2 linked regions of the Rattus norvegicus genome follow. The protein of the gene in region 2 interacts with the protein of the main gene of each other region in a pairwise test. Links are inferred from orthologs where the notes say so. Each region holds a gene or a part of one and is shown on either strand. Other genes may lie near its edges. The genes, in order: Camk2d and Tnpo2.

The links.
Region 1: the proteins of Tnpo2 (region 2) and Camk2d interact in binary tests that used the Homo sapiens proteins (3 or more experiments, as listed by UniProt). The two-hybrid records come from large-scale screens. The link is inferred for Rattus norvegicus from reciprocal best matches to the Homo sapiens genes TNPO2 and CAMK2D.

What each region holds. Positions count from the first base shown.
Region 1 is NC_086020.1:217,694,767-217,704,769, reverse strand, and holds the start of Camk2d (calcium/calmodulin-dependent protein kinase type II subunit delta), read right to left. Parts: upstream 6,220-10,003; 5' UTR 5,998-6,219; coding exon 5,933-5,997; intron 4,353-5,932; coding exon 4,258-4,352; intron 1-4,257. UniProt on the Homo sapiens protein: Calcium/calmodulin-dependent protein kinase involved in the regulation of Ca(2+) homeostatis and excitation-contraction coupling (ECC) in heart by targeting ion channels, transporters and accessory proteins involved in Ca(2+) influx into the myocyte, Ca(2+) release from the sarcoplasmic reticulum (SR), SR Ca(2+) uptake and Na(+) and K(+) channel transport.
Region 2 is NC_086037.1:40,003,530-40,012,950, forward strand, and holds the end of Tnpo2 (transportin-2), read right to left. Parts: intron 8,339-9,421; coding exon 8,113-8,338; intron 8,082-8,112; exon of another isoform or gene 8,012-8,081; intron 7,930-8,011; coding exon 7,758-7,929; intron 6,999-7,757; coding exon 6,912-6,998; intron 6,839-6,911; coding exon 6,731-6,838; intron 6,650-6,730; coding exon 6,491-6,649; intron 4,855-6,490; coding exon 4,767-4,854; intron 4,726-4,766; exon of another isoform or gene 4,651-4,725; intron 4,570-4,650; coding exon 4,471-4,569; intron 3,995-4,470; coding exon 3,899-3,994; intron 3,633-3,898; coding exon of another isoform or gene 3,603-3,632; coding exon 3,527-3,602; intron 3,333-3,526; coding exon 3,233-3,332; intron 3,156-3,232; coding exon 3,081-3,155; intron 2,995-3,080; coding exon 2,893-2,994; coding exon of another isoform or gene 2,887-2,892; exon of another isoform or gene 2,867-2,886; intron 2,790-2,866; coding exon 2,706-2,789; 3' UTR 746-2,705; downstream 1-745. UniProt on the Homo sapiens protein: Probably functions in nuclear protein import as nuclear transport receptor. Serves as receptor for nuclear localization signals (NLS) in cargo substrates.

The sequences.
Region 1 (10,003 bases), on a different chromosome or scaffold from region 2:
TGTTTCTGAGGGCCACCAGCTTACTGCTGTCTTCACATCACCTAGTGAGAGCTAACTGCTCTAACCAGGCCTAGATGATAAACAAAACATAGACCGATGCTGGAACAAGTTAGCATTTGATGGATACTGCCTAACCTAATCTTCTGAATCGAAATGATAGACTAATACCTACAATGAACACACGAGACACACTCCACCGCCCCTCCTCACTCCTTTCTAAGCATGTCTAATTAAAACAGGTTTCCAGAACTCATAATTAGATACACGATATCAAACGTTGGCCACCCTTAGGACGGTTTGCAAAAAAAAAAAAAAAATTAACAACTACTAACTTACAGGCTTAGCAACACAAATAGAGAATGTTCTGCGTGCATACGCAGATGAAGACAGCGAAATTCTTCAACAGACTCTGAGTTTCCCAGATACGGTGTGTGTGCCCACCAGTGACAGCGAACGCAGCCAAAGCTGTCTGTTCTGTGGAGAGCCTGTTACAGTCTAGGCGCAGCAAACACCCTGAGTGACAGCAGAGAGATGCAAATCTTTGCAGGAATCCAGCCAAATGTTTGCCAGTTCCCATCCTGGCCCAGGGTTCGCTAACAAATGCACTTTATCTTTTTGTCTGTTACAACTAGAGAACATTAGCTGAGGGCAGATAAGACAGTGAAAGGGTAGTGTGTTTGAGGTAGTGTGTTTAGCATGTGTGAGGTCCCAGGTTAAATTCCCAGCACAAAGAGGATTTAAAAGAAAAAATTGAGCAGTAGAAATTTCCTTGTCTTTGAAATGCATAGCCTTAAGGATTGGATTTACAAAGGTGTGTCATGTCAAATAATATAGACAAAAGTTTGCACAAAAATTTTCCACTCTCCAAAAGTGTCGTCGGAGCTCCAAAAGATTACTGGGGGGGTGGGGGTGGGGGGGGGTTAAACATACTATATTGCATTGGACTCTATATTTATCTTTGAATGTTTCTCATTATAAAATGTTCCTATAGGAGAGCTATCTCAAAAGCTGTTGCCTGTACATGGGATATGTTCTTCTAGCTGGGCTGCCTTGTCTGAGCTCAGTAGGAAAGGAAGCGCCTATCTTCCCCAAGACTTCAAGTACCAGGGTTGGGGGATACCCAGAGGGGCTCCCATCTGATTAGAGGAGAAGGGGAGGGGAAATGGGGTAAGGATTGTGGGAGGGGTGACCAGGAGGGAGCCAGTGAGTGGGGTGTAAAAAATAAAATAAAATTTAAAAGAAATACAAAAATTAAAATGTTCCTGCAAAAAAAAAACTTCAGACTAGATTATTGTAAAAGAAATGTTATTACAAGCAAACTTAAATTATATATTTTTTAGTATTTACTCATTTTTATTTCATGTGTGTATATGATTTTCTTGCATGTAAGTTTTACCACATGCATGCGATACTCATCAAGGTCAGTAGAGGGCCTCAGATCTTCTGAAACTGGAGTTGTAGACAGTTCTTAGCCACGTGAGCGCTGGGAACCAAACCCTGGGTCTTCTGCAAGATCAGCAAGTGTTCTTAACTGCTATCCCATCTCTCCAGCTTCCAAAATTTATACTTTAAAATACAGTCTCTAAATATACTTCATAAATTTCAGCATGTGCTTGTTCTCAGCAAGAAACAAAGCACGTAACTACTTTACAGGTGACCACATTTTACCCAGGCGCTCTGTCTGGAAGCCCCTCAGTGTTCTCAGTGCTGTCTACCTGTGTTACATCAAAGCTGAAAGCACAGACTTTCCTTCAGATAATTTGTAATTCAATACGGGTACAACTGAAACAAATGTATACACTACAAAATAAAGCTATTCCACAATAACCATCTCTAACTGTGTGTTGATATAAACTAACGGTGCTGAGCATTTTGTAGGAAATACCATACTCTTTGCATATAGTTGTAGTAAGTACATTTTCAGTAAGTAAAACTGGCAAGACACCTCATGAGACTCATGGCATAAGTCTTACCATTTGATTGACGAAGAATCTGAGATCTTAGGAAAGTATAAAATTGGATCGATTTTATGCACCTAGGGTCTGAACCACTATTTGAATTGGGTCACATCGGAACTGTCACTAGTCTACAATTTGCACATGCTTTCATATTAAGTAAGACCTTTTACATCAAGTAATGTGCAATTTGATTATCACCACATTCCCATCATATAATATGGAAGCTGATATTCACTATGAATACACTCTGTAGTAGGCTCTTCTCTGCACTCTACATGAAGCCAAACAGATTCATCAAACCGACACAAGGAAGGATTCTACCTCAACCCATTTTACAGATGAAAAGATTGAGGTTCAGATTAAAATGAGTACACTGCTTAAGGTCACCTAGCTAGCAGGTACAGAAATCAGGACTAAAAGCCAAAGCTTATCACTCTAGGACAGAAATATTCTATATTAGTGGGGGGGTGGATATAGAACAGAGAAAGAAGCTGGAGCCATAGCTCAACAAATCAGGGATATCCTTGCTCTTGCAGGATAGAAGAGCTCAGTTCTCACTACCCACACCTGAGGGCTTACCACTATGGGGAAATCTCTGGTCTCCAAGAGCACCTGAACACACACACACACACACACACACACACACCTAAAAATAATAATAAATAAATAAATAACCGAAAATAGCAAAGGAAGACAACCAGAATGTCCCGTGAGACAGGACGTGACCTGTAGAGGCTTAGGGAGAAGAAAGTGCTGGAAGCCAATCAGGTCAGTGTGGTCATCTCTCATGGAGGAGAAGAGAAGGAGCAGAGACAGCTACGCCCCCAGTCTGATAAAAAGAGCATGAGACGAAATGGATACAAAGTGATGACTCTCATTAAGAAAGAGTGAAGTATCCAATTCATTTGCTCTGAGAAGAAACTTAAGCCATTAAAGGACCTGAAAGGCATGGTAATACCCCTGCCCTCTCCCCAAAAAACCTGCCAGCCCACCATTGCCAATCTATCACACTGGAAGAAATAACAATCACTGGGAAAAACCTGACTCGATGTTTTCAGTCTTTCCCTTAAACTGGCATTTATGCTTCTGCCTCCCCTTGCGATTCTTAAAAAAACCCAAAACCTTCCGATGGAGTGGAGGCTCGAAAGGCAGATGTAATTAGCATAACACGCTCCTCATTCGTTTTCATGCCACGACATCGTGGGGTTCCTGGTCAGTTTACATACATAGCTCTTTCTCAGAACAACAGCAAATCAGACGAAGAAAATGACAGTGGAACTCTATCCGACTGAAGAAATAAGCTGAAACCTAGAGTCCATCTTCAAAGTAGAGTTTGAAAATCCATTTACCGGAGCGAAGGGGATGGTGCCCCGGCATCCTTAGGTGGCATGTCTTAAAAGATACATTCGGTGAGGAAAAGTAAGTCTAATGGAATTTCCTCTCGTACTTAAAATAAACCAGGTCACTGAGATGGGTCTGCACTATGGTATTCTGTTTCTTTTGATTCCAGTTTAATTCCATCAAACCATAAATTCCCTCGGAAATGCCGTAGACACCTCAGTCAGTGCAATGCCAGAATCTCGGCATATGTTATTTTGTTTGATTCTAGACAAAATAATCATAATCGCAGTCATCATAATGTGGGCACATAATGTGGGCTCCGTGTTGTTGTTGTAACTTATGTCAACAGCCTTCAGGATGAAGTATCTGTGTGGCTGTAAGCTGAAGGTTTACAATAGAGTGCATGATCTGGTGGGAAGTTGAATTCAGGAGACCAAGAAAAGGCCTAGCGTACACATAGCAAAACCAAGGTAACTTCCTAGATTACAACAACCATCTCTCCCCACTTCCCAAGGCCACTGAAGTTAAATATACCTCGATGTATTACGTTCAGCTGTAACTACACCTGTGATATACATTCAACTGAACCATGACCCATTTTTTTTTTTTTGTCTCAAAAGTGAAAGGCAATTATGACAGTTAGGAGACTTGCCTTTTTTTTTTTCAACCTAAGATCCTTCTGAAAGGATCTCAGCAAGGCCCCTCATGACATTTATTTGCTTTGCAACACATTTATTATATTACTGCATTTCGATAACTCATTGATAACAATTATATCTTTCACTTAACTCACAAAGTAAACAGACCACGAGGCCTTTGGCAAAGATGAGCATGTAATATGATGCCTAAGTCTAAAATTCAATTATAATTCCATGCTATAGTTAAAGAAAGACACCAACGACTCACACAGCAAATACGAAATTAACATATATAAATAAGTGCGGTTTAAAATACCCACCCCTAGCAGAAAGCTTTTTGGTGTTGATAATTTTGGCAGCATACTCTTGTCCAGTAGGGATTTTCATGCATCTTCTCACCACTGAGAATGCCCCCCTGGAAAGCAGTAATTAGCAATCATCAGTATAATCAGATCCAGTATCCACTTGCAAACTCACAAATCTGAGCAGTTTGATGAGTCTTTAGCGATCTGTCAAGTATCAATATAATAAAAAAGCATCATCTAGGAAATGAACGAATCTTCCCTGCCGAACCAGATCCTTTCTAATGTTGTGGAATAAAAGTAATTTTTAATTGACTGGAAACAAACAGATTATTAATCAACAAAATAGAAGGACATGCCAATTATAACCACTCTTGTTTGCACATGAAATTTGAAAACAATTTATAATTCACACTCATAAAACACCAAATGCTCATGGCAAACCCTGCAAAAAGCAGAGACCGGGAACAGAAGAAAAAAAAAACTGCTGCATGTTTATTTCGGTAGAAAACACAATTAACGTGGTTCCAAGTGAAGTAAATATGGCGATTGTTTTCATTAAAACATAAATCTCGAGCTCACTGGTGTGCTTTAACAGGTCCTGGGCTAAGGTGATTTCTCTCTGCCTGGTTTGGGCTGGGGGAGGGGAGAGATTTGAATTAAGCTGCTCTCCCGACATGTCTGCATGTTTCAACAGCTGATCATCTATAAAGATATCATTTTCGTTTGATTTAAAAAATGCTCACACTTCCTTGTATGCAACTGTACTAAAAACCTACAACACACACACACACACACACACACACACACACACACACACACACACACAAATGCATCCTTTCCCTGATAGTGGAAATTAGCGATAGAAGGACTGGTTTGGGATTTGATGCTTGTTACCAACACTCCCGACTGGGTCTCTGGTTGTCCCTGTACGATCTTCAGTAGGTACCCAGTCCCTCTTTAACATCTCAAAGTACTTCTGGCACTTCGGTGGAGGAGGTCCTTTTTCAAAGGCTAGGCTACCCTGGGGAAGCGCTCTCTCGGGCTCCAGGGCTTTTCTCTCTGCCTAGATAAATAAATCCTCTCAGAACCGAGGTACACGTAAATCCTAGAATGATGGTGAGCGAGTCACCTTAGTGCAAAGAAGGATAGCGGATACAGGGCAGGGACGTGGGTTCTGTTGGGTGGCCTTTTCCTGGACGGAACAACTACTTTGGATGCCGAACCAGACTCTCCACCAAACCAAGTTGAACTTTCGGCATCGATAAACAAGGCACCATCTCTGAGAACTAATGCTCATTAGCTCATCCTAACCTGTATCAGACCGCAGATACACCGCGGGCTGAGCAAAAGACATCTACAGAAAAGGTGATAAATGTTGCATTTTACATGCAATCTCCTTTCCTCCCCGAACACACACACACATTCACACTCGCGTGCGCGCACACTTCTCAGGATGACAGCTACAACTGCAGAGATCGTAAATTCACTAAGTCTCCAGTGGAGAGGTGGAGGACCCGAGGAGATGAGCTGGGGATTCGGGGCACCCGCCACACTAGGGCAAAGGTTTCTCCCCACTGTGCCCCACCCGCACCAAGCCATGGTCCGTCACCCCGCCTCGGCCCGCGGGCTCCCTGTCCCCACGGGGGAGACGAGGGGTCGCGGGGAGGAGGTGCCAGGCAGGGACGCTTACTTTCCGAGCTCCTCGAAGAGCTGATACTCGTCGGTGAACCGGGTGCAGGTGGTGGTCGAAGCCATGGCGGGGTCTGGACAGTGCGACGGGCGACACGCGAACAGACGCGGCTTCCCGGGACTGGCACCGCCGCGCTGTCACCCGGGGCCGCCCTCACTTTCCTTGTCCGAAAGTAGCTCGCCGGCGAGGGAGTGCGCGCAGGGGCGGGGCGCGCGGGGCGAGGTGGCCAGACCAGCCCGAGCCGCGATCCTTCTTCCTCCTCCTCCCGCCGGGCGAGCGCTCCCGAAGGGGCGGGGGGGAGGTGTCAGGAGGGGCTGCCGCGGTCACCGAGGCCGCACGGAGAGCTCAACGTAGCGCCCGGGGTGGCGGGCGGCAGTGGCCAAGAGTGAACACCCAAGGGGTCGCTCCTGCGGGCGGAGGCGGCGCTGGTGGCCTGCGCTCTCTCCCCACGGGGCCGCAAGGCTGGGAACCTGCGGGCGACAGAGTGCGCTCACTCGGCTCAGGCGAATCTGGCAGCCGCGGCTCCTCCCCGGCGCCTCCTCCCGCCTCTCCCCGCCCAGCGAAGCCCCCTCCTCGCCAGCCCCACACCTCCCTCTAGCGACTCCAGCCGCGTCCCTCCGGGCTGCTCTCCCGCAGCCGTCTAAGGAGACCGGAGGGAGGAGATGTGCAGAGCCCCGGGGAGCGCGCTTAAGGGGACGGGACAGAGATGTCGCAGTGACCCACGAAGGGACGGAAAGATGAGGGACAACTCGCAGCTCCCACACCCGGGATGTCTCTACCCCGGCAGTGATGGCCGTGATGCCGGGGAAACCGAGAGCGGGATGCAACCCTTGCATCTGGGCGCGGTTCGTGTTTACTGCTCCCAGACCCCAGCCCTACGTCTCCCGGCTCACAGTGACTACCGGGGGCTGCCAGCCCTGGCCACCTCTGCTTCGCCTGGCCGTCCCTTAGCTAGGAGCAAGGATGGTCAGGGCACCACGTTTCGATTCAGTTTTTACTTTCACCTCTTCGCCCTCCTCTCCCGTTGTTTTCCCAACTAGGGCGATCCCCAAAAGCATTTGCTTGGCCATAAAGCCTAACATAATGAAAGCAAGAAGTGCACCACGCTGCCACACCTTCCTTCCTCTCCAGAGTAACTCCCCTGTAACCTCAGCAAGTTCTGATAGTAAGAAGGGCTCTCGCGAGATGTCCCACTGTTGGTGGCAAGGGGGTGGGGCGTTAGGAAGGTTGGCTGCGGGTCACGCGACCCAGAATGGGGCTGACGTCATTAGCGTCACGTGAGCGTGTCTAGCCTGTTTCTCTTTGCAGAGGGAGAAGGAAAGGGAGAGGGAGGTCACAAGTTCTTTGCTTGCAGTCTCAAAGAGCTGGTCAGGTAGGGGCACAGGAATGTACTCCCTCAAGGGCTATCTGAAAAACCATTTAAGAGTTCAAGAGCGTGGCCTACAATTAAACATATGTGACACAGTTGCTTAAAAGTGAGCATGGAGAAAAAAATTAGCATGTAAGGTAGGTAAGTTGTAACTGGCTGCTAAGATCACTTCGGGGCCTTCTTTCCAGTTCCCAGTCTTTAATAAACGAGGCAATTGCAGATTTAGAGGACTATGGAAAATAGAAACATCATGAAGTTTTTTTTTAATTTTTTTCTTCAGATTGTTGCTTTTTGTTCTATAGCAGGAAACCATAAAATCCTTCACTTCTATTGCTTATTTGCTCATCCTTAGAAGGATCACGTCATGGACTTAAAATTCCACAGCGGGAAGATGATAGATCACTTTCAGTTAGGGGAGCTCTTACAGGCTTTTGGTTGCTTTTCCTGGGCGGCTATTAATTCATTACCTTGCCCACTGTCAGGGCTGTTCCCGGTTTTGTTTTGTTTTTTTATTTCCAATTCTAAAGAGTGCTATGAGTGCCTTTGAACTGAAGTGCTCAAGATGGTCATAAAATTTTTAAATGCTTTTTTTGTTAGAGGTTTTGCAAATATTGCTCACAATTCTAATAGCCCTCTCCCACTCAACACCACAAGAAAATACTTCTTGTATTTAGTCATCATTCAATGTCTGCATTGTTTTTACCCTGGAAAATGTCATTTACTGGTCTGTTTGACTATAATTTTCCCTTCAATTTTACATACATCGTTTGACATTCTTCCCACGCATTAGATTCCTAGTGCGGATTTTTGATGTTACCCAGCACAGGGGATCTGCCTGCACAACTGGCTTGTTGTCATGTGGTTTCTACCTGGAGACCTCTGCTGTTCAATTGTCATTGTGGAAGACCCTTGGAACCTCCTGCAAATTCTCTGTGGTTTTTATGTAGCTTCAATTCATTTTTGTTTTTAAAGCAAATATTGTCTTTTATGTCGTTAAATTTGAACGTTTTTATTTGATTGGGACAGGGTCTCAGTCTGTATCCTTAAATGGTGTGGAACTCACTATGTAAACCGGGGTGGGCCTCGAACTCAGAGATCTACTGCTTCTGCCTCCCCAGCCTGTGACTAAGGGCATGCCTGACTAAATTTGAACAATTTTAATCACAAAATTGAAATGCATTCAGGTCTTAAATCCTGGCCATAAAAGGCAAAGGTTACCGGGTATAAATCTACTGACAAAGAAAAAAGGATGATACTAAAAAGTTAAAAGGAGAAAAAAAGTAGTGTTTAAGTATTAATAACCAAGCTAAAAGTTGAAAGGAATAATTTGGTCTTGACTAAACCTTTTTAATATATAGCTTAAATATATGGCTCTCTGTTATAGTGGAGTAATTTAATATTCTTTTTTAAGTCCAAAAGCAAAAACAAAAATAAAATTTTTAAAAATGAGCATAATAATCTTTTTACAACTAGGAAGAAAAGTGTTCTTTAAATACCAATGCAATACTACATAATTACAGTATTTACCTCAGGTGTTTAAAAATAACGGTAACTGTAAATGGTTAGAATAATTTTGAGTATAATAAAAAAGTAACTGCATTTGATGTATCATTATCAAGTTAGTATTTGTAGACAATAACCTCGTAAATTGTTATGCCTTTAAACAAATAGTTTTTAATATACACTGCTCTGTTGTTTGATCTGTATTGTATTCTCAATAAACTATTTCTTTTATTTAAAAATATTCAGTTATTTCTTGATTTAAGACCTCCTTCAGATAATAATCAGATTGATTACATTTTTTTAAATTCTATTTCATCAGTCTAGGAATAGCTATGAAATAGTCAAATTTTTAAAAGGCATACTTATAAACAGAATGGCTCGAATTTAGTGTTAAAGGTTTAACCTTTAATCAAGGGTCTTTACCTGACTATTCCAGTGAACCAAGAGGAATGGAAGAGTAATAAAGAAAGGAGGGGGGGTTCTTAAAAATTATTCATGAAACTTGTTTAAAATGGTAAGACGGATTTTATTCAAACCGGACTGTGGTGATGGGGACATTTGTAACCTAATCTTCTCAACTCCGACTCAAAAGAGGGCAAGCAAAGATTTACAGTCAAGGAGCGTAGGGGTGGCCAGTGGGTGTAAGCACTGAGCGCTTTCTTCCTCTTCTCTTATTTTGCTACTTGGAGTTAAAAGTTTCAAAACTTTAGTATTCTCACTCAGAATGGACAAGAATCTAACGTACGTGGTGGTCATCCACTGATTTTTCTTCAGACAAACCTTCCAGGAAACACAGCACTTACCTCAAAAGGGTACAAGAGTTTACTCTGGAGCCAAATATGAGTGATTGTTGCCTGGGAACACTGGTTATCCTAACTTCCAGGTTCCAATGTAGTTAACAGTTTAATGAGATTGTATCTTAACAGAACGAGGTAAATCAGGAATCAAGATCCTTTCCAAAAGCATTGGTGGAAACGTTAGACGGGAGGGTGACAGAAAAGCCAGGAACGCTCAGCTCCAGGCCTCAGATGCTATCTGATATCATTCTTGGCCTTTCGGTTGACAGAAACTAAGGGTCTGCCTGGACTTTCCCAAAGATTCATCTAATCCTCACAAAGATTTTAGGGCACATACAGAGGAAGGTGATAAACGGCTGTGGAGGGCAAAGATAGACCAAGATAATTTGTAATCAGGTCCTT
Region 2 (9,421 bases):
TCTTCCGGTAGCTGAACTACAACCATACAGTCTCATTCTGCATTTTTCTTTCCCCAAGAACAGGGGTTCTCTGTATAGTCCTGGCTCGCCTGAAACTCACTCTGTAGGCCAGGGTGGTTTTTTAATTCAGAAATCCACCTACCTCTACCTCCTCACTTTAATCCCCACTGCTGGCACTAAAAACAATCACCATCATCACCACTCAGCCTGGCCTGTTGTTCTTTAAGATCTCAAAAAAACTTCAAGCTTGCCCAGTGACCTAAAACTGTGTTATGTCTGCAGCAAGGCTTTGTAAATGAGTTTACTGTACAGTAGCCCTTTCCTGGGTTGTTAACTGTCAAGGAGGACACCTACCATTTCTAATCACTTTCACATTCACCTTCCCACCTTACTAGGATGGAAACAGAAACAGAGGAAGCTTCCTTGGTCACTTGATTTACTTTTTCAAGTTCTGGGAATAAAAGTGAGACCTATATATCTAGCTAAACTAGCTACCACTAGCCTCAATTTAACTTCATAAATCATCTACACTTTTTGAGACATAGCAACCAGCCCAGGTGGATTTCAAACTTGACATCCTCCTGCCTCAGTCAGGCAGACCACCAGGAGCAGCTGTGCATCTCCACTTGCGTGTGCTCACCCTCAGAAGCCAAGAGAAAGCAGGTGCTCTGAGGTATTCTCTACCTTCCACCTCCACACCACTCTACCAAAGCCAAGGACTAGGAAATGAGACAACAAGGGTTTCACAAGAAACTGACCTTTACTCAACAAAGTTCTACACGAGTGGAATCTCACGCCACCTAGGCGCTAGTCCCCAGCACAGCACAGTAACAGATGGATAGACCTGGGAGCCCATGGGGTAATGGTAATAAAAGACTCGGGGTAATGGCAGCAGGGAGGGCTACAGATCAAGGTCAGTCCATGTCGCAGCCCTGGACAAGGAAGGTGAAGAAACTGAAACTTCATTGTGCAAAAACCAACTAAAAAATAAATTAAAAAATTAAATAATTTCTTTAAAAAATAATAAAATAAAATAAAATAAAAAAAGGGAAATACAAGAATCGGGCTCCCTTTTCCTGAAGGTAGCTGGAACAACCCCCTTGGACAAAGAGGGGTCACAACTACATCAGACAGTCAATCCATCAATACACCCCAAGACCCAGCAGAGGATGCTCCTAAGAAGTGGAATTACCAGAAAGCTAATGGTATTTTTCTTTAAAAAATTTTTTTCCTACAAATGACTTCCAGAGACCTGCTCAAGTTTCAGGCTGGAGGGAATGGGGACCACTAGCTGAGTTATGGAATGTGCACTAAGTGTCCCTGGGAATAGAGGCAGGGCCTGACCCTACTTGAGAAAAGATACAAGGCCTGGATGGAATACGGTCCAGGTCCTTAGAGGGATGATGGAGCAGGCAGGCCCTAATATGCAGAACTCCAGTCAAAGCCCAAAATATAATGGGCTCCCAAAAACGTAGGAAGCAAAGAAGGGGACGGAGGAAAATTTTCAGGGATCTTACAAGACTGATTTCCATAGCTAATTTGGAAATAATCATGCCCCTCTTCTCTCGGGAAGCCCCTCCCACCTAGATGGCATCCCCAACCAATTTCTTCAAAGAGTTTTAGAGTCAGTATACCAATTTGGTGTGGTCTGAGTCCAGTGACAGTGACACTGTGATAATCCTAAGTCCCAAAAGGGACAAAGTTTGAGGCCCTGGGTACACCCTGCTCCTCCTCCAAGCCTTCAAATCTTGCTAGACCCAGTAAACTTCTGTCCTTTGTTCTCACCAAGCACATTCTGTTGCCCCAGCTCTGGAGAATGGGGTTCTCAGGAGCAGAGAACTGGACTATCCTTAAAGCTGTTTCAAGAGATCCAGGAAAGCAGCCCTGGCAGCCAACAGCCCTTAGCTTTCGCAAGGAAAACTAGTCCCAGGACTATGACTTTAAATACCCTTGGAGCACAGGAAAAGGGTACAGGGTAGCCTCAAGCCAGTCTCAGCTGCTCCGACGGTCCCCACTCTGCTGCTGGCTAGGATGTGACAACGATGGGGACACACTACATGAGGCTGCCATGAAGCTGGCAGGAAGTGTATGGAGCAGGTCCAAAGTGAGCCAGTGCTGAGAAGGCAGCCCCCAGATGACCACCCTCCTCCCTTGGCCCTGGGAGCCCAGCTGAGGTCCCCCAAACCCCCCAGCCCTCCCCATTACCACCAATTCTGGCAAAACAGCAGAAGCTTCTTATACTCTAGATGCAAGGTACACAGAAGGCCATAGGCATAATTTGGGGGTTCACTAATTCTACTGTCTCCATGCAGTCGAGGAAATGGTGGGGCGGTTGGCCCAGCCTAGCTGGCTATGGAGCCCGCACATGCGTGTGTCCACATGTGTACATGTGAGTGTATGCTTCTCTACAAGGAACCCCCCTCCCCACCTGTAATTCCCTTGCCTTATCTGACACCGGATTCGGTAGGCCTTATGGATTCCTCCCTCCCACATGGCTGGCCCAAGTGAGCTGCCCGAGATGACCCAGATTAGAGCCCAGAGAACTCTTGCCCACCAAGAAGTCCCACCCCCCTCCCTATTTGTAGGATGAGAATGGAGTCCCCACCCACCTGCCCACTCATCAGGCCCGGTGGGGCAAGTGGACCGACAGATGGACAGGTGCACAGACTGGGTTGCACCTGGATTTAGGTCCCACTCACTCCTCCCTAACCCCCCTCGACCAGGGCACAGTGACTTCTGGAAGCAGCACATTCCCCAGCACACCCTCCGACGATGACGCAGACAAAAACCTGTAGGGGAAAGGGAGGGTTCAGGGTCTCGTTCTTTTCACTCTCCGATAGGCCCAAGGGCTGAAAGACCTGCTCACCTGGTGGTCTCCACGTTCACCTAGACCCCATAGAAGGCTGCCAGCCTCTCCTTGAGCAGAGGTGGGAACTGCTCTGAGAACTGTTGCCAGTTCTCCTCCCCAACTTGGTCTTTGAAGCCATGGAGGATCTGCAGTGAGGCAGGGTTACAGTGGGCTGGGGCAAGCCTGTGGTGCCCATTACCCAGGACTCCCATGAGACCACCAGGAGCCTCACCTTATAAAACATGTCCCGAAGGTCATCCTTCGGGCTCACCCAGGAGGCTACAGCATCGCAGAAGAAAATAAAGTCCTGAAACATGATGGATCCCATGTGAGGGGCCGCCCAAGCCAGCCCCCTCCCTGCCCTCTGAGCCCCACTGCCCGGACCTGCACAACACCCCCAGGATTGACACCAATCATCATGCAGATGCCTCGGAAGGCAGAATCCTTCTCCTCGTTGTCCCGGATGTTCCTAAGGGACGTGCACCTGGCCATGGAGGAGGGCAGCAGGTCAGTGGATGGACTTGGGGCTGGACAAGCACAGATGAAGGATGAATGGAGGGTATAGGACGGGGTGGGTGTCAGTGGGTAGAGGTCTCCCACATGCATCCATGGGGGTGGCGCTGGGGGATACAGCTGTCCTGCCCACCCCCAACAGGTCCCACCCAGGCAGGCACACACCAAGGCCGGATGAACTGCTGCAGCATGGGTGCCACCTCCTGTGGGCACACGTAGCCCAGGCGGCCGATGGTGATGGCTGGAATGGCAGAGGGACTCGTCAGGCGACCTGCAACCCCGAGTGGCCCCGGGACGGTACGTGGCGGGGCCTCTGACAGGAGGCACCGAGCCCCGCCCCACAGGCCCCAACTGAACGATCCTGTGGCTATCCTGGGCCCTTGAGTTTGGCCCATAGGTGTCCTCCCCACCCAGCCTGGATCTCTTCCCATCCATATATTCTAAAGCCAGTGTTGTTCCTTGGGTTCCTCCTGAGTCCTATTCAGGTGTTAGCACCCTTCCTGGAACTATGCCCTCTCAGCCCTGCCTGGTACTCACCTGTGTTTTCCAGCAGTGTCTTGGGCGTGTTGGGCCTGTTAATGATCTCCACCAGATTGCTGAGGACCATCTGCACATAGGGCTGCATCTCTGCCCCTAGAGACCAGCCATTCAGAGCCCTGCATTGCCCACTCCACCCACAGAGCACCCGCCAGCTGGGTATGGCTGACTTCACTCCAAGAGCCCAGTTACATTCAGACTGGCCGGTGCACCACAAAGCCTGAGAGAGCAAAGGCCCCCCCTCGGGATACTCCCCACCAAGTCCACAGCCAGCACAGAATAACCACCCAATGAGTCTCTGAGGCCACTACCCAAAAGGTGACAAGATCACTCTACCCAATCTTCCCTAAGGACAGGAGGCCAAAGTCACTAATCCCAGTGGACCTTTCAGAAAAACAATTACAGGAGATGGTCCAATAGGAACAAACTGTCTACCCCTCCTCATACATGGCCCTTGAGTGATTTGACTTCACCTGTGAGGGAAATCAGAGCATGTTCGTCCCCAGCCAACAAAGCAAAGTTCTGGCTGCAGAGAAGCAGATCACTGCAGAGGCCACTTTCAGGGCACTCACCCATTTGCATGCAGATCTCCCCAATGGCCCAGGTGGCATTGTTGCAGACAGAGATGAACTCAGGATTCAGGTTGGTGCCCAGAATAGGCATGAACTCAGCTAATAATGCAAAGAAAAGAGCAGGGAGAAAAATTGAGCAGAAAGGCCAATGAGGCCACACTCCCAGAACTGGACTGGGCAGACCCCATCAGACAGTACGAATACAGACAGTTCGGTCATGGGCCTCCCAGGGTCATGTCTCCATCACTTGAGGCCAACGTTGGGGTTATGGGATAGGGGCAAAGGAAGTAGCCTACCGATACAGGGCTTGACATGGATGAAGCAGGCTTTGGTAAGGTCTCCCAGAAGGGCAAAGGAACTCTGCCGGACCTCAGGCATGGAATCCTGGAGGTGGGAAAGGTTGCACAAATGACAGACTCCTTGACTCCTTCCATCTAAGCCATCTGAGGTGGCTTAGACCCTAGAGCACATCCTGACCACAAACACAGTCCCTTACTCCATTGGCCTTCTACTACACTACAGCCTGTTTTCCAGGACCTGGGAGTGAAGTTCACTAGTAAGCATTTACTTTTAAATTTCTCCCTAACCCTGTTTTATCCTCACCCCATTCCCCCTCCCCAAACCACAAAATAACAGTTATATTAAATATACTCTTAATTTCTCTGAGACAGGGTCTTGCTTCACAGACCTGGCCAACCTAGGCACTACCATGTTCTGACTTAAGCCTCTATCAAAGTCATCATCAGGCCTAACTGTGGCACTCGTGTGCATCCTCAGTCACCCTATCTTAGTTTTGAGGAATAGTTTCTTTCTGAACCTGAGCTCACTAAAACTCAGCTGGACAAGCTGGCCAGAGAGCCCTGGGATCCTCCCTGCCTCTACCTCCCCAGTACTTTGAATCAAAGACTCCTCTGTGAAGCTGTACCCACTTATTTTCATCTTTAAATGCGTGTGCACACTGGGTGAGACAGTTGTACATGTTCATAGGTATCCTTGGAGTCTAGGAGAGGGAGTCAGGTCCCCTAGGAAGCTAAAGCAGGCAGTGGTCAGAACCAAACGGGTTCTCTGGAAGAACAGCAAATGCCCTTAACCTAAGTCACCTCTTCAGTACCTACCCCAAATTTTTACATGGGTGGTGGAGATCAAGTTCAGGTCCTGTTGTCTGGCAGGTACTACTTTACTGACTGGACCATCTCCCTACATCTTCCCATTACCTGTATTTTGTTTTGTTGTTTTTTGAGACAGGGTCTCACAACAGAGCCTGGTTGAGCCTGGAACTCAGAAATCTGCCTGCCTCTGCCTCTGCCTCTAGATCTAAAGTGCTGGGATTAGGGGTTGGGGATTTAGCTCAGTGGTAGAGCACTTGCCTAGCAAGCGCAAGGCCCTGGGTTCCGTCCCCAGCTCGGGGGGGGGGGGGGGGGGGGGAAGTGCTGGGATTAAGACCACAGATACAAAAAAAAACAAAAAAAAAAAACAAACAAACAAACAAAAAACCCCACAGATGCCTGTACTTTATTTTGCAGACCAATTTGCATTATAGTGTCTGACAAATTTTTTTTTACTGTTCTACCCATGTGTGGGTAGAGTATGAGTGCACACCTGTGTGGGGAAGAGCAGGCAAAAATCCAGGTTTTATTCCTTAGGAACCAGCCAACATACATTTATTCATTTGTTTATAAAACTAGATGTTAGTTGGGCAGTGGTAACTCATGCCTTTAATCCCAGCATATTGGAGAGAGACAGGCAGATCTCTGCTGAGGCCAGTCTGGTCTACATTACATAGCAAGGTCCAGGACAGCCAGAAAATACAGAGAAATCCTGTCTTTAAAAAAAGAAAAAGGGGGGTTGGGGATTTAGCTCAGTGGTAGAGCGCTTACCTAGCAAGCGCAAGGCCCTGGGTTCGGTCCCCAGCTCCGGAAAAAAAGAAAAAAGAAGGAAAAAAAAAAAGAAAAAAAGAAAAAAGTTGGCTTGTTTAGGTATGGCCTGACTTGGGAGTGGCTTATGTTGGGTACCCACTCACCTGCATACACTGGAAGAGCAATGTCATGATGTTACTTCTCGCTACCAGCTGTTCCACATGGCCACCCAGACCCTCAGCCAAGCCACTAAGCAGGTCCAGTGCAACAATCATGAAGTCCTTGTCTGGGGCCTCATACTGTTCCGGGTGCTGTGTGTACATCTAGATGCAAATGAGGCAGGTGAGGAAGCAGTCTAGGGCCTGGGCAGTAGAACAAGTGGTCAGGAGATCCAGGGTGCTCACCATGGCCTGGGCCAGTGTCTTCTGCACCAGGGTAACACAGCGCTGGTAGACAGGCTCACAGTAGGGCAGGAAGCCACTCTGCAGGGCAGTGGCCACAGATGATAGGCACTAGCAGGGAAAAGGGAAAAGGTAAGCCCAGGCCAGGAGGGAGGGCTCCGAGGAAGGACCTGAGCCCACTCACCTCCAGCAGGGGGAAGAGGTCCTTGTCTTCGTCCTTGAGTTCATTCCACTTCTGGATCAGTGGGGGCATCAGCTTCTGAATGTATTCCTGGAGAGAGGTAGGGGCAGCCTACTCAGTCAGTGCTATTTATCCCTTAGGGAAGATCCGTGCTCCTGATCCTTCTCATCTGCGTGTCCCTTCCGCTCACTCCCAGGAACCTGGGTAGGGCCTCCTGGGACCCAAAGACCCTTGAGCTCTCCCAGCACAGCCCTGGCCTCTCATAACTGTCCACCTCCCACTGTAAAGAGCTTTTGGTGCCGACTCTAGAAACTTGGCTGGAATTTGACCTTGGGCCAGGACAGGAAAGTAAGTGCAGACAGGAATCTGACTTTGGGCTAGGACAAAGAAGTGGGCTTCAGGCAAGAATATGACTTTGGGCTAGCACCGGGAAGGAGGCTCAGATATCTTGGCCATCCTGATGAGCCTCTAGAAGCAGCGATCACAGGACTTTGTTTATTGCCTTGCTCCTTCCTTAACCTAGAACTGACCTTATTACTTGCATGTACTTAAAATGGTGTAAAAGCAGACTGGGAAAAATAAACCCGCCTCAACCTCAGAACTGGCTGGGGTCGTGCGACGGTGTCGTCTAATTGTCTTTTTTCTTTTTGGTCCTGGCTCCCTCCCTGGAGGACCTGGTGACTGACCCAGCTGGCTTGATCATCCCACTAGTCTGGAAGCAGAGTAAGAACAGGGCTAAGTGCTTCAGCCTGCCTGTCATGGCCCTGTCCTCAGCATGTAACAAGGTCAATACCAAGACACCAGATGTTAAGGGACACAGGACAGGACAGAGTGTGTCCAGGTTCTCACTGGCTGATTGAGGTGGTGGCCCACAGAGTCAGCCAGGGTGCCGATGGCATCGTAGAGGATGAGCAGGTTCTTATGCTGGTATTTGCCAAAGGCAAAAACGAGAGTGTCAAGGATGTAGCTGAGGTAGGGCACCAGCTCCGTGCACGCCTCCTCCTCCAGGGTAGCAAACGCACTGGCAGGGAGAAGACAGGAAGGGGAGTTTAATGGAGCCTAGCAGATGGAGCAGCTAACACGGGCAGCTAGGGAGGTATATCCAGGATCAGCCAGTACGAATACGACAGTGATCAGAGTCTTGTCAGCAGTCATAGGCATCATCATTTCCCAGGGTGAGGACGGAGGTCAGGAGTGGGCTCACCTGCAGGCTGCCTCCTGCACCCTCTTATTGCCATCCAGGATACGTTTGAGCAGCTCCGTCATCAGAGGCTTGAGGTGCATGTCAGGTGGCTGGCTGACTACCCAGTGGGCATAGCGGCTCAGCGTCCAGCAGGCAATGGAGCGAACTAGGGCCTTCTTGTCTGACAGGCACTGGATGAGGTGTGGGATCAGCTCAGGTAGATAGGGCACCATTCCCTGCATGCAGCCTGTAGTTACCAGGAGACAGGAGGGTTTTTAAGAAGGCTGGGGCATATCCAACTCAACATGATAGGTGGAAAAACTGAGGCTCTTCAAAGAGCCCATAAAAGGCAGGAGCAAATGGGGACATGGCAGATACATTGCAGCTGAAGGTGGTCCAAATTCTGGCTGGGCACAAGCCCAAACCTATAATACTAGCACTCAAGGCAGGAGGCCAGCATAATCAAGGAGGGAAACACCCCTACCTCTCCACCTCCCACTTCAATAATCAAAATCGCAGGACTACTTAGAGAAGTAGGTGTCATGAGACTCAAACAGGAAGTGATTCTCAACTTGAAACCTTCTACACTTGTACTTTTATCTCGTGCCCCCTCCCTCCCCATCTCTGTCTCTTTCTTCACTCCACCCCCTCGCTTGATTTATTTTACTTTAGTGTACGAGGGGTGTTGTTGAGTGGGCAAGGTATGTGCAAGTGCCCACAGAGGGCAGAAGAGGACTCAACTACCCAGGAGCTGAAGTTAGAGGAAATCATAAAGGGCTACACGGGTGCCAGGAATGAAACTTGTTCTCTGAAAGAGCGTCAGATGCTCTTCACCACTGAGCCATCTCTCCAGCCCTTATTTTCTAACTTTATAATTGCTTAATTTTTGTTTGGTGGAGGTTTTTTGTTTCATTTTCTCAGTACTGGGAATAAAACCTTAGGCCTTGGGCATCCCCCCACCCACCTGTTTCACCCTGACTTTTGAGAATTTAATGTGCAGACCAGGCTGGCCTTGAACTCAAGAGATCTGCCTGCCTCCGCCTCTGCGTGCTGGGATTAAGAGTATGCCCAACTATGAATGCAACTTCACTATTGGGATCAACTTCTGTAGATCTCTCTCACTGGTCTATAGAACAGAGTACACCTAACTTGGGTGCTTCCACATAGTCACAGGTGAGCGATACTACTCTGAAGCAGAGGCAGGAGGATTGCCACAAGTTCAAGACTTGCTTAAAGTATACAAGAGACCCTGCTTTTAGCCAGGTGTGGTGATACACACCTGTCATCCCAACACTAGGGAGTCTAGGTCAGGAGAAATCACAGCATAGCA